Linked DNA regions of Yarrowia lipolytica. The protein of the gene in region 1 interacts with the protein of each later gene in a pairwise test. Links are inferred from orthologs where the notes say so. Each region holds a gene or a part of one and is shown in the gene's direction. Other genes may lie near its edges.

Region 1 (4,542 bases):
GCAATTGGATCCTTTTTTCGGCCGGGCTCAGTCAGCATGCCGTGATGGGAGTTACACCTTTTGTGTGGTCAAATCCCCTGCTAGGAAAAGTATAAGCAACGAGGAAGTTCGGTATGAGAGTGCACTGTGATTATGAAAAATCGTATGTTCTCTGAATTGAAATTTCTGAATTGAAATTTGTAGGGGTGGTCGGCGACTGCAGTTCGGCCCGTGTTTCAGAATCTGGTAGCTACAGTACTGTACTGTTATAAGGCACGGCCCCGTACAAGTACAGTTTATCAGTAATTCGTGTTACAGTATGTACCTTCTGTACTTGCACATGACTGAGAATAGGCGCCTAAATGTAGTTCCGTGGTGACTTCGGGTGGCTATCGACACAATAATAGCTCAGTGACTAAAGGCACAGCAAAACCTCGTGGCTAGTACGAGTGCCGTACGACTTATTCATAGAAATAATGTGCGTTTTTGTGTTGCACCCTGCCTGCTACTCCCGACAGCCTTGCTCGTCCCGCTATTGCACAAATACAGTATGTACTTGCATCAGTCATGAATTCACAACGTCATGATCAACATGTACATAGTACACACAGTACAGTAGTATGCATTTGCACTGCCCTGGAGAATGCGCACGCGACCACATTCTAAGGTTTAGTTTTATTTTGCTACCAGGTTAACGCTCGTCTACATATATATATATATATAAAATTACTTATATATACTCTATGAGTCCATACGTAATGTTCAATACAGCGTCCAATACCGGGGGTGGGGGATATTTTCGGCAGCGACAGAATATCACCTGAACAAGTTACTCAATATATTATCGACTTCAGATGGGCAAATTGTGAGTCTCACATCATTTTCAGTACCAGGTACTGGTACTTGTACAAGCTGCGCGATGACCAGTTGCTTGTTGGTGTCATAGCCGGCTGTATTGTACAAACGCCTATGCTTGTTTTTAATATATCAACAGCCTATAATGCAGGAAGTATGGCCCGCTCCAACTGAAGTTCTCTATTAAGCAACTACGAAATTAGCTACCTTGTACTTGTACAAGTACAAGTAATACTTGTCACACTTGTTGCATTATTGGGTTTATCGAACCCATTACTGCAGGGGCCTCCCGTGCTCTGTACATCTGATACTGGGACAGTATGTATGTGTATCTCTTCTGGGCTTGCAGAAAGATTCTTCAGGAACTCCTCAGTTCGCGTGCAAGGAAGTCTGTACTAAAACTGGTACTACTTGTACTGCCTTACTCGTATGGTAAGTATACACGTGTGACAATCGTACCAGTACTAATGTAATGTTTATACCGGTACGAGAGCATCTCACACTATATATTTGATTCTAATAACATCCTATTCGAGTACGAGTACATGCCGTACCTTCACTTTCGGAATCTGTGAGTTTGAGTTCATTTTAAGTAATTAACGCGAGAGATGGAAGGTGCATGGGAAGCACGCGTCGTATTCGGATAACACTCAGACACTCGCAGCACGGTCATTTAAGGGCGGGTCATTCGGGCACAATTGCTTGTGTAAATTTAAGCCTCATATTTCACACACATACAACGCTTCCAGTGGTAATTTCAAGAGCCGTACTTTTGTCCTGTTTCGGATAAAAGGTAAGGGTTAGCCAGTTGGGCGGCGTGTCATGTTAGTAATCACAAACCAAAGATGCGGATGTGACACTTGCATTGTGACTCACAAGTAGATTGATCCGTCATCGTGAAGAAACACTTTAGTTCACTTGTTTTATATTCGTCATGCATATTTGGACAGTACTGTACTATTCCTACAAGTTTATACAGTATGTACTTGTAGCTCTGGCTTGCCCGACACTCCTGAACTGCACAACGCATTGGAATAAGCTCGGTCAACTTCAATCATTCATTGCACGTCCACTTCACCAACCACTTCGAACCACAAGAAACAGCCATGAAGTTATCATGGAGTTTATTCTGTGGACTTGCTTCACTAGCCTTGTCACAATTTGATGAGGCACCACCGTCGCAGTCGGACTACTTCGTCCGCCACATTCCTGGACTAGACAGCGTGGACAATTACACGATGCATTCCGGAAACATTCTCACTGATGCAGCTCATAACGGAAACCTGTTTTTCTGGCTTGTTGAGGCTCAGTACAAGATCACAGAGCGCCCTAAAACTATCGTGTGGTTCAACGGAGGACCTGGTTGTTCATCAATGGATGGAGCCCTGTTGGAGGTGGGCCCTTTCCGCATCGTGGATGACAAGCTCAGAGTAGATCCGAACAAGGGCTCTTGGCACAAATATGCCAACGTGTTATTTGTTGACCAGCCCTATGGAACTGGTTATTCCTATTCGGACACGGATTCTTATCTGACTGGCCTCGGGCAGGTAGGGGATGAGATGGATTCATTCATGACACAGTTCCTCAAATTGTTCCCAGAAAGAGCCCATGATGATTTTTACCTAGCTGGAGAATCTTACGCTGGTCAGTACATCCCTTACATCGCAACCAAATTACAGCAAACGAGAACTGTCGATCTTAAAGGTCTACTTATTGGAAACGGATGGATGGACCCCGCGAATCAATATTACCAGTATGTGCCATACGCATTGGACTATGGAGTGATTGAAAAGACGGAAGAACATGTGAAGGATCTCAAAGAGCTTACAGACACTTGCGAGCGAGCCATTAACATCGCCAAGGACAAGAACAACGGGAGACTTCCCGTCCATATTCGAGCTTGTGAAGATATCATGAATGGCATTGTGGAACTGAGCAGAAATGAGCGGAGTGCACCAGAATCTGAAGGAATATGTGTTAACTACTACGACGTATCCAAGGAAGATAAATGGCCATCGTGTGGTATGAACTGGCCTGAGATTTTGCCATATGTCACTGATTGGCTACGACAAGACGCAACAGTGCAGGCTCTGAATGTCAACAACGATAAGCAGGAGTCGTGGCAGGAATGCAATGGAGCAGTTGGTTCCCGCATGCGACAGGGAAATGACGATGCTGCAGTTTACCTGCTACCTGACCTTTTGGAAAGCATGGAAATTCTATTTTTCAATGGTGATCGAGATCTCATCTGCAACCATTACGGAAATGAGAGAATGATTGAACAGCTGGAATGGAATGGAAAGAAGGGTTGGACCGAGGGCTTGGAGCTCGACGATTGGGTTGTCGATGGCGTTTCCAAAGGCAAGAAGCAAAGTGACAGAAATCTGACATATGTTAGGATATACAATGCTTCTCATATGGTTCCCTACGATGAACCCGAGGCTTGTCTGACAATGCTGAATGACTTCATTGGCGTCTCCAAGGCTCTGAGCGACCTATCTGGTAATAAACCTGGAAGGGGTAGTGAAAACCCCAGTGACTTGGACGATCAAAAATCTGGCGACCAAAAATCTGACGACGACAGTTCCAGTGACGATGATGACGACGCGGAACACGATAAGAAAATCGCAAGTGATGCCATGTGGAAGGCGTACTACCAGGCTGGATTTACAGCCCTGATCGTTGTCCTCATTATCCTGGGGCTCGCAGGATTCCTGTTTTGGAGAAAAAACCGAGGCCATATTTATCAGGAGGAGACATCGCTCCTCGGTTCATGTTTCGGAGGTATCTCCCGTTGGAGAAACAGTTCTGGTGGACCACTCTCCAACCAACAGGGTACTTTCGACTCCAGGCAACGACTGATGGAGCCCGGAGAATACTACGATCTTGGTGAAATTGCTGAGGAAGACGAGGATGCCGAAGAGCTTGTGATCCGAAGGCCTGAAGTGTAATAAACATAGGATGATAGAATAAAATAAAATACCGTCGTGAGCACAAATAAACCCTATCCTAGTCTCAGTATTCTATTGTAAACGTGTGTATCTGTGTTGGTGGCAGTTACATTGTGTAATTTGACTACAGCACCATGCGCTGACTTGCACCATGGAGAACTCCGTACCACTTTTTTTGAAATTATTCTAATGATTCATTACAGCTATATATATAATATATATATATATATATATATATTATATACCTCTGCCTGTAGTAAGCTGGGTTCGATAAATCATAAACGTTGCGATATGCATTTCGTTCGAGGCACTGCCATTGTTTGAGGTGATGAATTGTGTATCGTCGAAAAGAGAAAGTCACTAAACAAAAAATAAAATGTAGAAAAATGTGATTCATAGTAACAAATTGTGGAGAAGACGATAAAGGCGTGTGCATTTTTTTTTTTTACAAATAAAATAGATTAAACTCAATAGAATATGAGAAGACTGCCAGTTGTCTCACTATAGGGAAAAAGTTGCCCAATGATATGTTGCTGTGACAACTTGTGAGAAAACGATAAAAGCGTATAGTGATTGTAATACTTAATACTTCGACTAACTGCAACCACAGAATTATTATTGACAACATCTAATCTACAGAAGATCTATTCTCTTCTAAATTATATTAACAATAATAATCAATCAAAACAATTAAAAACGTGAATACAGCAACGGATCATTTCAATAATAAATTGAACAGATTCGATTGAACATTCTA
Region 2 (6,668 bases), on another chromosome or scaffold:
ACGACCAAAGATGAGTCACATCCACCCACACCCACAAAGACCACCCCCTCTCGCAGAACGTCGCTGGGCCACCAGTCGCTAGTGGGCTCTTATGAGGAGTCGCTACTGTCAGGCAGGATGTCTGCTTCGACATCAAAAACAGTCCCTTTCCATGCAGGTATTGGAGTTCTTGGTAAAGGGGGCTGCAACAAGCTGCTGCGATGTCCCAAGCAGATCAATATGTCCTTCAACGCTGGCTTTGTGGTCTGGGAAGACATTGCAAACACCAGCTCGCTCGTCTCAGCCACAGGAAGCCCCTACGTGGGCATAATTTCTCTAACAGAGTACTACCAGGCCCGGTTTGCCAGGAGAGAGAAACGAAAAACGACACAAGGAGAGCCCAGTGAAAGGACCAGAGTCAAAACGTTTCCAGGATACCGGATACCTCCCGTGGGCCAGCTCCAAGTGGTGGTATCCAACCTGCAAAAGACAGCAGTCAAGCTCTTTCTGATACCCTACAACGTTGCTGAAATGCCCAGCGGCACCCGAACATTTATTCGGCAAAAGGTCTATTCTGCATCGAGCACCCCTGGCTCCAAAGGCACCCTAGTCCATGCTGCACACATTCCTATCGTTCGTCTGGACAATGACAAGCTGTATCTTTGCGGGGACATTCGTCTGGTGTTCCAGAACCGAGTGTTGAACGGTGGTGCAATGAACGACACGACCTTAACTTCTCAGGAGCCTTCCAAGGACAATAACGATTTCACCAAGCACTACCTAGGCCTCGGGAGATCAAAGGACAACATGGTGATTGAGGAGATGATGGGCGGATGGTCCAAGGTGTCTGAGACACCAGCATGTTCACAATGAGCGCCGAACCACTCTATTTATTTGCATTAGCGTACAGAACTCTTGCTGACGCCTTACTCCCTACTGATTTGATATTCTTGTGTACCTTCGAAGGTGCATCCCTTTTGGTCATTGTATTTACGCATCAATCCATACCCCATCCTGACATCTGAATGGCTTTGTAATAGTACATACCTTACATACTGTACAGCTCATACATACCGTCGCTTAGTGATAGATTTGCATCAACAGAAATGTGGCTTAACACGCAACCTTTCGCGGGTATATGGTATTTTTTTTATTCTACAGTAGGGAAATACATTGCAGCTACTGAGGGCTGTGTGCACCCAACAGGGTCATGAAACAGGCGTTTTGGGCATATCCGTTTATGGCAGCAAGATTACTGTAATTAATTATCGTCCTGGTAAAATTGCCTTGTCCACCAATACTGTAGATGACGTCATCAGTGTATATTGAGTGGACGAAATGTTGCCCTAACAATAAATATTATTGGAGAAAAGCGCGATTCGCCTCTGCTTTTATCCTATTTACCCGATCATATTCAAGTATTATTGCTGTCTACCTCATTTGCGCCTTCATCCCCAGACGCTTATTAATGCGTCGGCTTTTTATAGGTTGCTCCCAACAGCGGTGACCATAAAATTGAGACACAGTTGACCTGCACACAAACCAGCCACCGACGCGTGTCGGTAGCGAAGTCAAAGTTAACCCCTTAGCTAAAAAGTCGTCTATTTATAGCCGCCTCACGTGGTGCATTGCAGGGACTATTGTCGATGACGAGTCCGCTGGAGGCGAAAAAGCGACAAAGAACCGAAATCTGTCATTTGTTTCTGCGCCGGAAATACTGTACCTGCTTTATGACTCAAACATTGGTGTACTTTTTTTTTAGCCTCCTGGGGTTTACCCTTCGCCATAATAAGACTACTTTGTAGGTGCCCATACAGCTCAAAATTTTAAGTTTGTATATTTTTGGAACGCAGTCCAAGGAAAAACAGAAACCTTCGAACATCGAAATCCTTACTTTACTACAGTACAGTAGCTGGATATTGCACCTGAGCTTCACAAAGTGAGTACATTTCGACTAAATTGTTCAAGCGCGCGGAGCAATCACAAGAAGTGAGTACGCGGCCCACGACTGGACCTGCGTTACGCGTTCTGTTCCCCACAAGACCACGTTTTTTTTTTCTTTTCTTTCTTTCATTACACCCCCTCCCCTGACGTGTGGTCCAACAGCAAACACATGACTAACACAGTGGATTCGTACAACAAATTCGGATTCAACTCGGAGACGGGTGAGCCCAACACTGGCCCCCAGGACACATCTGGCAGTGTCCCCAGTGAACACAGAGGCGACGGCTCGTTCTCCCCCGACATTGGACGAAAGAAGTCTCTCATTCGACCTGACCGAGCTCGACTCGACCCCGACTCGCGAACTTATCACTACTCGCAGCTGGCCGCCCAGCAGCAAAGCAGAATCAACGTGCTTCCCAGTTCCACCGGAAATGACCCTATTCTCGAGGAGCACTACATGCGCGAGACTGGCGAGATCCAGCCTGGTCAGGGATACGATCAGCCCTACGACAACGCCGTGAACCAGGAGGTGCTAGAGGAGGAAAACGAGGAATCATACAGAGAGGGAGAGGAGGACCCTTACGCCTACTCGGGCCGTCAGGTCTATGGTCTCAATGACGAGGTCCAAACCGAGGCCTACGTGCGAAAGTCGGACGAAATCTCCTCATCAGAAGAACAGGCTGCCGACACCCAACCGCCCATCATCGACCCACCTGTCAACGAAAAGGTTCAGCTCAGCCGTGGAGGAGGAACACTGAAGCGACACAACTCCGTCAAGCGACGAATGGGCACCCAACCCAAGCAGATTTCGCTGTGGATGACCTACTGTCAGATTGTTACCTTCTGGGCCCCCGCTCCTGTGCTCAAGATGTTTGGCATGCCCCAAAAAGCCCGACAGGACGCCTGGCGAGAAAAGATTGGCCTCATCACTGTTATTCTTTACATTGCCGCCTTTGTTGCATACCTGACTTTCGGCTTCACCATCACAGTTTGTTCCAGTTCCATCACCCGAGTGCGAAACGGAGAAGTCAACTCTGGAAACCTCATCATTAATGGTAAGCAATACGACTTTACCTCTATGAACCACCCTCCCACAGTCGAGGTTCCTACTGGCGGTAACTTCATGTACCCTCCTGTTAATGCTGGATCCATGGACGGTTCTTTGCTGTTCCAGAACGTCAACAACCACTGCAAGGGTCTAATCACCCCCAAGCCCGACTGTAAAATTCCCTACAACGGCGACAGCGTTGCCTGGTATATGCCCTGCCAGCTGCTCAACCAGGACGGATCTTCCCAACCCAACACTACTGAGCAGTTCTACCCCGGCTACGCATGCCACACTTCCACCACCGCTCGAAACGTCTACTACCACCAGCTGGTTGATGCCGGTGAGGTCTACTTCACCTGGGACGATATCAAGAACTCTACTCGAAACCTGGCTGTGTTCAACGGAGCTGTCATTGACCTGAACATGGTCAACTTCATTCTTAAGGACGACCTCAACTACCCCGAGATCTTTGACACTCTGCGAGATGACGATTCCATCAAGGGTACTGATATCTCTCGTAATATGGCCAACGGTCCTGATCGACAGGCTGCCCGATGTCTGCAAGAGATTGCCAAGGTTGGATACATTGATACCGAGCAGATTGGATGTCTGGCTTCCCAGGTTGTTCTGTATGTATCTCTGGTTTTCATTATCTCCATTGTCGCCGTCAAGTTCCTATTTGCTATCTACTACAAGTGGGCCATTTCTGCCAAGCAGGGAGCTTTCCCCATTGACAACAAGCAGATGAACCAGCGAGAGAACGAGATTGAGGACTGGTCCGAGAACATTTACAGCCAGGCTCCCATCAAGCGAGTGGACCGAGACCAGCCTAAGTCCAGTGCCACTCCCTTCCGTGGCCTCATCAAGCACCGATTCAACCAGCACGACAATAAGAACAAGCGAATGAGCACAATGGTGACCCAGGTTGGTGAGAGTGGAACTGCTCCTTCCGTCTACTCTCGAAACTCCGCTGCGATCGACTCCAACACTGATGTTGGCGGTGTTGTCTACGATTACGACTCTGGATCTCAGCCCTACGAGGCGCCCACCGTCAACGTTGTGCCCCAGCCCCCCATCGACTACCAACCGTTCAACTACCCTCTCGCCCACACCATGTGTCTGGTGACTGCATACTCCGAGTCGATTGACGGTCTGAGAACCACCCTTGACTCTATCACCACAACCGACTACCCTAACTCCCATAAACTCATTGTTATCATTGCCGATGGTATTATTAAGGGTTCCGGTAACGACATGTCTACCCCTGACATTTGTCTAAGTATGATGTGTGATATGCCTATCCCCGAAGACCAGGTGAGACCCTTCTCTTACGTATCTACTTCTTCTGGTACAAAGCGTCATAACATGGCCAAGGTCTACTCTGGTTTCTACGCCTACGATGATGCCACAGTTCCACCTGAGAAGCAGCAGCGAGTCCCCGTTGTGACTATTGTCAAGTGCGGTACGCCTGCTGAGGCCAACGAGGCCAAGCCTGGTAACCGAGGTAAGCGAGACTCCCAGATCATTCTCATGTCGTTCTTGCAGCGTGTCATGTTCGACGAGCGAATGACCGAGCTGGAGCACGAGATGTTCAACGGTATCTGGCGAGTGACTGGTATTCTTCCCGACTTTTATGAAATCATTCTCATGGTGGATGCCGATACTAAGGTGTTCCCTGACTCTCTGACCCACATGGTGGCTGAGATGGTCAAGGATCCCGAGATTATGGGACTATGTGGAGAAACCAAGATTGCCAACAAGCGAGACTCTTGGGTCACTGCGATCCAGGTGTTTGAATACTACATTTCTCATCACCAGGCTAAGGCCTTTGAGTCCGTCTTTGGTGGTGTCACTTGTCTGCCTGGTTGTTTCTCCATGTACCGAATCAAGGCTCCCAAGGGCGGAGACGGCTACTGGGTGCCCATTCTTGCCAACCCTGATATCGTCGAGCGATACGCTGACAACGTGATTGACACTCTGCATAAGAAGAACCTGTTGCTTCTCGGAGAAGATCGATACCTGACCTCCCTCATGCTCAAGACCTTCCCCACGCGAAAACAGGTGTTTGTGTCCAAGGCTGTCTGCAAGACCATTGTTCCCGACAAGTTTTCTGTTTTGCTGTCTCAGCGAAGACGATGGATTAACTCCACTGTGCATAACCTGATGGAGCTGGTGCTGGTCAAGGATCTATGTGGTGTCTTCTGTATTTCCATGCAGTTTGTTGTCTTCATCGAGCTTGTTGGTACCCTGATTCTTCCCGCCGCCATCTCGTTCACCATCTACGTTGTCATTATTGCCATTGTGAGAAAACCTACGCCTGTCATGTCGCTGGTTCTGCTGGCTCTGATTTTGGGTCTGCCGGGTCTTCTCATTATCATCACAGCATCTCGATGGTCATACGTCGTGTGGATGTTCATCTACCTGCTATCTCTTCCCATTTGGAACTTTGTGCTCCCCGTCTACGCATACTGGAAGTTTGATGATTTCTCCTGGGGTGACACTCGACAGGTTGCTGGTGAAAAGAAGGGCTCTGGAGGCCACGACGAGGAGGATGGTGAATTTGACTCGTCTCAGATTGTCATGAAGCGATGGAGAGACTTTGAAATGGACAAGCGACGCTACGTGCCACTGCCTCCCCAGAACGCGTGGATGAGCGATCCTCACATGCCTTCTTACAACCACCAAGGATTTTCTGCTAACTCTTCCCCTGCTCTTAGACCCCAGGGCTCTTCTCATGTCTACTCGGACTCGGTTGCCGGAGCCAGTGACTACAACGTTGCTCAAGGCCACGAAGTACTTTAAGGCGTCAAGCCAAAAGCATATATATAATCATGATAAAATTACCGTGTTAACGATGTGTAGCTAGAATCTGTATTGCAATAAATTAAAACGAATGCTGACCAGTAGCAATTCGGTGTAGGAGCTGGAGGGATCCTTGGATTCCAGCCTCAAAATGTCTGGTGAGATACGACCGGCTGTCCTTGGGGGAAATGAATATGGCCAGAATGACACTGGTGAGTCCGATACACAGAGAGAAGAAGAAGATACGTCGGATGGAAATGGACGACGACGAGTTTTTCTTAGAAAGCTTGTTCTGTTCCCGCTGCTGGTTGCGCTTGTCAATGAGTTTCTGGCGGGCCAAACGTTCGTTTTCCTCCCGCACTTCGGACTCCTTAATTTGTAACGAGAGGTATGAGCTAATCAGCGAGGGTGCTGTAGCGGAAGAAGACATGCTGTTAGACGACAGAATGGACTCTGACGGAGATTCAGCCTGGGGCGATTGCGCAGCTGTCGTCTTCAATACAGAGTAGTTTGACAGTTTATGCCAGGCCGGATAATTTTCCAGCATGGTTTTTGACGCTAGTTTCTGGGCTTTTTGGATACATCGAGACACGGTTTCCTGTTCTGTCTTGGGAAAGGTGTTTAGAACACAGTTGATGATGTCTATGTCTTCTGGGTCCAGGTTGCTGAGTTCATCCGATCTTAAAGACGTTAAGGATGCATAAATAAACAGAGGCGTTGCCATGGTCCCAGAAGCTAGAATGAAATCAAACAAGAGACAGACGGTGTCAAATTCGGGAATGTCGTGGGCAAACCAGGTCAGCACTGACGAGATACCGTACACCGGTCTCACCTCTTTGATTTGATCGCCAGTATGAGAGTCAAGCTCTGTGACCAGCGAGGGAATGAATTCCAA
Region 3 (5,162 bases), on another chromosome or scaffold:
ATGTACAATAAGTATTCTAATCTACTTATGAGTCTGAACGCCGTCATCCACGACTCGCGGCATCTGTCGAACCCCTGAAACGACGCGATATCGGCCACTCACTACCCAAACCCACACTGCGCTTCGGTTCTGCCTCGTCAACCACCTTTTCCTGACCCTGCTGCTGCCATCGCAGTTCAACAGCAATATGCAACCACCCAGCAGCACGCAGCAACGAAGAGCTGGGGTATTATGCCATGCAGCAACCCTATCAGCAGGGCAGGCGTTGGGAATGCGAATGTGAATGCGAATGCGAATGCGAATTGCCGGTCACGTGACCTCAGACCGCCCGGCGACCCGGCGACCGGCGACCCGACGACCTGGTCTGAACACGCCTAAACGGTGGACCCGTGGCGCCAACTGTAGCTGCGGCGCTGACTACGACACGGCTATTTCGCCTTGTTTCAGGTGGAAATAGTGTGTAGGTTCAGTTTACAGCCGCTTCATTTATAGGCTTCATTTATAGGCTTCACTTTGGGGCATGTGAAGTGGAGGTTTCAAATAGAGGACGAAACGGAGGGAATATCGGTAATCTGGCAGTTTCAATGGATTCCGAACGGCCATTCTAATATATTTATGTTTTTTTAATTTCAGAAAAATGCTTCTGAAGAGGCCAGGCAGTAGAAGGAGGGTGAGATTGGCGTCAGCGTTGCAAAAGCTTGTCCATGTTTTCGTAAACTAATTTCCAACTAATGTCCCAACTGTTTGCTGTTAATGGTAATGCATACAATTGGCGATATCTGAAAATATTGTATGACAGGGGGTGTTTTTTGTTGTATTTTAGTTATAAACTTGCTAATTACGTATCCATTAATGTCCTCATTATATTTCTACAACCTCTGCATCATTGAATTTGCACCCCCAGCACCACTTTTCTTCCAACTAAACTCCCAACTAATTTGCCAAAGTCTAAGTACTGCAACCGGTAGTAGCCCCAATGTATACTGTGAACCCACCCTTCACCCAACTACCAAAAGACACATTTCACCACTGCGCCACCGAAGCCCAGCTCTCCACTCTGGCAACTCTGGGCATTTTCTTCTCCGGAATGTGCTCTCCTCTCACTTGGCGCGTGCAAGAGCTGAGGGGGACATTTCGTACTAATCACTATACTGCACTGTACACACGGTAAAGCGATAGGTCCAAAGGTGCTGGGGCGACAACATCCCGTTCTGTTCACGTGACCACAGCACCGACGCCCGGTCCGCGTCACGTGACGCCAACAACGTCCCAATCCACGTGACTTGGTTTCTTCTGTCAACATCGTCGCGCGTCTCCACATCACTAAGTTCTCCGTGTGTTGCTTCTTTTCCAGATCTGACACTGTCCAAAGTCTAAAGTCCGCCCCCTGACGTGAAGATGGAGGAGTGTAAAGTCGGGATCGTGTTTTGAAGAGACGGACCTCGGGAAATGAAAGGGGGAAAAGAGACCTTTCCGCGGAGCGTGTCACGTGATCTCCGGAAAACGGGAACCGTGCGAATGTCTCTTTCTTCTGGATCGACGGCGGTACTCGTACTGGCACTGTGCTGATGGTAGTTACAAGTTGTGTCTTCGGGCTGTGTAGTCTTTGTATGTCAGAATACGCATGAAGGGTGCGTATCTTCGGTGCTTTGTTTAGGTTATTTTTAGGTGGGCCAAAAGATACTCGAGATGATGCTTAAAATTGTTATCACTGTACTTGTACACCACTTTTGATTGTTACTGAGAACGACGACAGAGCTCGAGACATTCAAGACACGTCAAGACAGCTCCATTCGGCTATATTCAGCTTACTCAGCTCACTCAGCTTACTCAGCTTACTCAGCTTTCTCAGCTTACTCAGGTGATCACCCTGTTACCCCGAAACAACCAACCCACACCTACAGTCACACCCAGTCACACCCAGTCACACCCAGTCACACTCACTCACACTCATTGGACCAAAGACACCAAGATGAATTGGATCTTTCTGCTCAGCCTGGCGAGCTACGCGCTGGCGCTCCACCAGATCGGATCGGACGCGCTCAAGTCGTGCATGACGTCGTCGCAGTTCACCGCGTCCCGGTTCGACATCAAGTTCTTCCCAGACAACCAGACGGCCAATATCGACCTCAAGGCCATCTCCAACCTGGAGGGCAACATCACCGGCACCATCACGCTCAAGGCCTACGGTATCGAGGTAGTCAACGAAAAGATTGACTTTTGCAAAAACAATATGCCCCAGCTGTGTCCGATAGCAAAGGGAAACTTCGACTTCACCACCACCCTCAATGATATCAGTAAGAACGTGGTGGACCAGATTCCCGGCATCGCCTACACCATTCCCGATCTCGACGGTGTGGTCACCGTGAAGGTCCACTACAACGACGACCCCAACACCATCGTGGCCTGTGTGGAGACGTCGCTCAATAACGGCAAAACCGTCCAGACTAAGATCGCCTCGTGGATCATCGCCGGCGCTTGTCTCATCGGAATGGTCACCGCTGGTGTCGTCGCCATCATGGGCCACAGCAACACCGCCGCCCATGTGGCTTCCAACGCCGTCTCGCTCTTCACATACTTCCAGGCCATCGCCATCATCTCCATGATGGCGGTGGAAAAGCTGCCTCCCATCGCAGCTGCCTGGTCGTCCAACTTCACCTGGACCCTGGGCCTTGTCAACGTCAAGTTCATGCAGGACATTTTCAACTGGTACGTCCAGGCCACCGGCGGAACCTCCACCTTCATCATTCGAAACCGACAGCTCATCTCCGTGTCTGTGGAAAAACGGTCTCTTTACGCGCGTGCTCTCAACGCTCTCTCGGATGAAGGAATTACCAACTTCATTGCCTCGTCTAAAGACGCCATCTCAAGACGAATGGCCTCTCGAGGAGATATGGTGGACATGGCTGTGGGCGTGGGCTTGCATCTGCTCAAACGAGACAACAGCACCCTGGATGATCTGGGATCGCAGACCGAGAACCAGAAGGATCCCCGAATCTACGGAAAGACCCTCATTGTTCGAGGAATCGAGCGGGTGGCGTTTCTGTCCAAGATTGAGCTCACCAACGTCTTTCTTACGGGCTGGACCATGTTTGCTTTTGTCGGCTTCTGTCTGGTGTTCCTGGTCATCATTTTCAAGGTGACCATTGAGAACTTCATCCGAATCAAGGTCATGAACCCCGGAAAGTATGAGGAGTACCGCCAGAACTGGAAGTATATCAGCAAGGGCGCCATGTACCGAATGGCGCTGATTGGCTGGCCTCAAATGTCCGTGCTGTGTCTGTGGGAGCTCATTGAACGAGACTCTGCTGCTGTGGTGGTCATCGCCGTCGTCACCTTCCTCACCCTTCTGCTTCTTCTCTGTTTCGGCGGCTTTAAAATCATCATGATGGCCAAGCGATCCATGTCGCTTTACAGAAACCCGGCCTACATGCTGTATGGTGATCCGGTCACCCTCCACAAGTGGGGTTTTCTGTACGTCAACTTCCGAGCCACCGCCTACTACTATGTTCTTGTCATCATCGGGTTCCATCTGGCCCGAGCCCTGGTGATTGCCTTCGCCCAGAAGGCAGGCAAGGTCCAGGGAGTGGTCTACTTTGTCATTGAGCTGGTCTATCTGGTGATTGTGTCGTGGATCAAGCCGTACATGGATAAAACCACCAACGTGTTCAACATTGCGATCGCGTCCATCATGTTCATCAACGCACTGTTCTACATGTTCTTCTCCCAGGTCTTTGGCCAGCCCCTGTATGTGGGCTCCATCATGGCTGTGGTCTTTTTTGTGCTCAACGCCGCCTTCTCGCTCATTCTGATGATTTCGGTCATCATCTCGTCTGTCCGAGCTCTGCTCTCCAAGGACCCCGATCTGCGATATCAGCCCATGCGAGACGACCGAGTGTCGTTCATCCCCCACAACCAGGCCGAAAAGGACGCCCAGGATACCGAGCTGGATGCTCTGGGAGCCACCATGATGGTCTCTGGCGACGATGTCAACCGGGACCCCAACCGACGCTACTCCTCCGACGACGAGTTCCCTCAGCCCCGGCTTCCCAGAGATACTCTGGCCCCTCATTCGGGCTACGAGCGGCCTCTGTCTGGCGGTCCCTACGACGAGCGCGATCCCTTTGCTCTATCCAATCACACAGTCAACTCCGACTACCACGCTCCGGCGGGCAGTGGAGCCTTCTACTCTCACCAGAATGGCTCTGAGCGCGACATGCCACCGCCCGCCACGTCCTACCGAGGATACCAGCCTCCGGGATATTGAAAAAAAAGTGTAAATATTTATTATCGTCAATCGATCACGAATTATCTGAACGGAATGAATGCAGCCGTGTGTGAGCTGTGTAGATCATGTAACGTAAACGGATACAATGGCTCCATCCTTTCTTGACTCGTTTCCACTTCTGCAATTGAGTCGTAGGAGGTGATCTCACTCATGATCATGACTTGTGCACTAACGTTGGCTCTACAGAATAGTCAGAATAGTCCAGCTCGTGCCAGTCGCGTGATTTGAAACGCGACCAACAATGAGAATGTTTCATAAGCTGCGCTAAGTTGGTGATGTCTCACATTCACATTCGTTTCATGACGCGATCAAACTTGTCTACAGTTACCTATTGCGAAACAAAACTGCGGGACAGTTTCTTCTATCATCTATAAATCATTAATTTATACAATCCGTATCCGACGGATTCGTTTTTCCCATTCTTTTTGTCTGCGTCTCCGTCTAAGCGAGAGAAGTGAAGAACTTGTGGGCGAGCTCGACGCCGACAAAGGTGGCGGCGTTGGCGGGGAATGAACGGGCCAGGGCGGGGCCGATACCGGGGAAGAAAGCCTTGATTCCGCCTCGGGCGTAGATGCTCTTGGTGACCTGGGAAATGCTCTGGGGGGTCTCGGACGACTGCAGGACGGACTTGATGGTATCAATGGGGAAGACGGGCACCCACATGGCGACACCAGCCATACCTCCGGCGAAGGAAATGGCGGCGAGAGACAGGGGCTGGGCAGCAGATCCGGGCTCGGCGGGGGGAGACAGCTTTCGCTTGAGGAACTCGTAGGTAGCAAAGTAGAGAGCGGAGCCGGGACCATCTCGGGCCAGAGTGGCGGCAGAGCCCTTGAAGACGGACTTGAGACCACCCTCCTTGTACAGGTGCTTGACC

The links. The genes of interacting proteins can lie anywhere in the genome.
Region 2: the proteins of YALI1_B07162g (region 1) and YALI1_C33406g interact in binary tests that used the Saccharomyces cerevisiae proteins (3 or more experiments, as listed by UniProt). The link is inferred for Yarrowia lipolytica from reciprocal best matches to the Saccharomyces cerevisiae genes KEX1 and CHS3.
Region 3: the proteins of YALI1_B07162g (region 1) and YALI1_C03378g interact in a protein complementation assay, tested with the Saccharomyces cerevisiae proteins (2 studies listed by BioGRID). The link is inferred for Yarrowia lipolytica from reciprocal best matches to the Saccharomyces cerevisiae genes KEX1 and FLC2.

What each region holds. Positions count from the first base shown.
Region 1 is NC_090771.1:714,268-718,809, forward strand, and holds YALI1_B07162g (uncharacterized protein), read left to right. Parts: upstream 1-1,940; coding exon 1,941-3,785; downstream 3,786-4,542.
Region 2 is NC_090772.1:3,336,042-3,342,709, reverse strand, and holds YALI1_C33406g (uncharacterized protein), read left to right. Parts: upstream 1-2,092; coding exon 2,093-5,773; downstream 5,774-6,668. Other genes in the region: YALI1_C33427g (uncharacterized protein), read left to right, coding at 1-852; YALI1_C33354g (uncharacterized protein), read right to left, coding at 5,856-6,668. UniProt on the Saccharomyces cerevisiae protein: Polymerizes chitin, a structural polymer of the cell wall and septum, by transferring the sugar moiety of UDP-GlcNAc to the non-reducing end of the growing chitin polymer.
Region 3 is NC_090772.1:335,895-341,056, forward strand, and holds YALI1_C03378g (uncharacterized protein), read left to right. Parts: upstream 1-1,972; coding exon 1,973-4,267; downstream 4,268-5,162. Other genes in the region: YALI1_C03360g (uncharacterized protein), read right to left, coding at 22-151, 208-364, 513-603; YALI1_C03374g (uncharacterized protein), read right to left, coding at 1,007-1,560, 1,623-1,626; YALI1_C03415g (uncharacterized protein), read right to left, coding at 4,730-5,162. UniProt on the Saccharomyces cerevisiae protein: May be responsible for the transport of FAD into the endoplasmic reticulum lumen, where it is required for oxidative protein folding.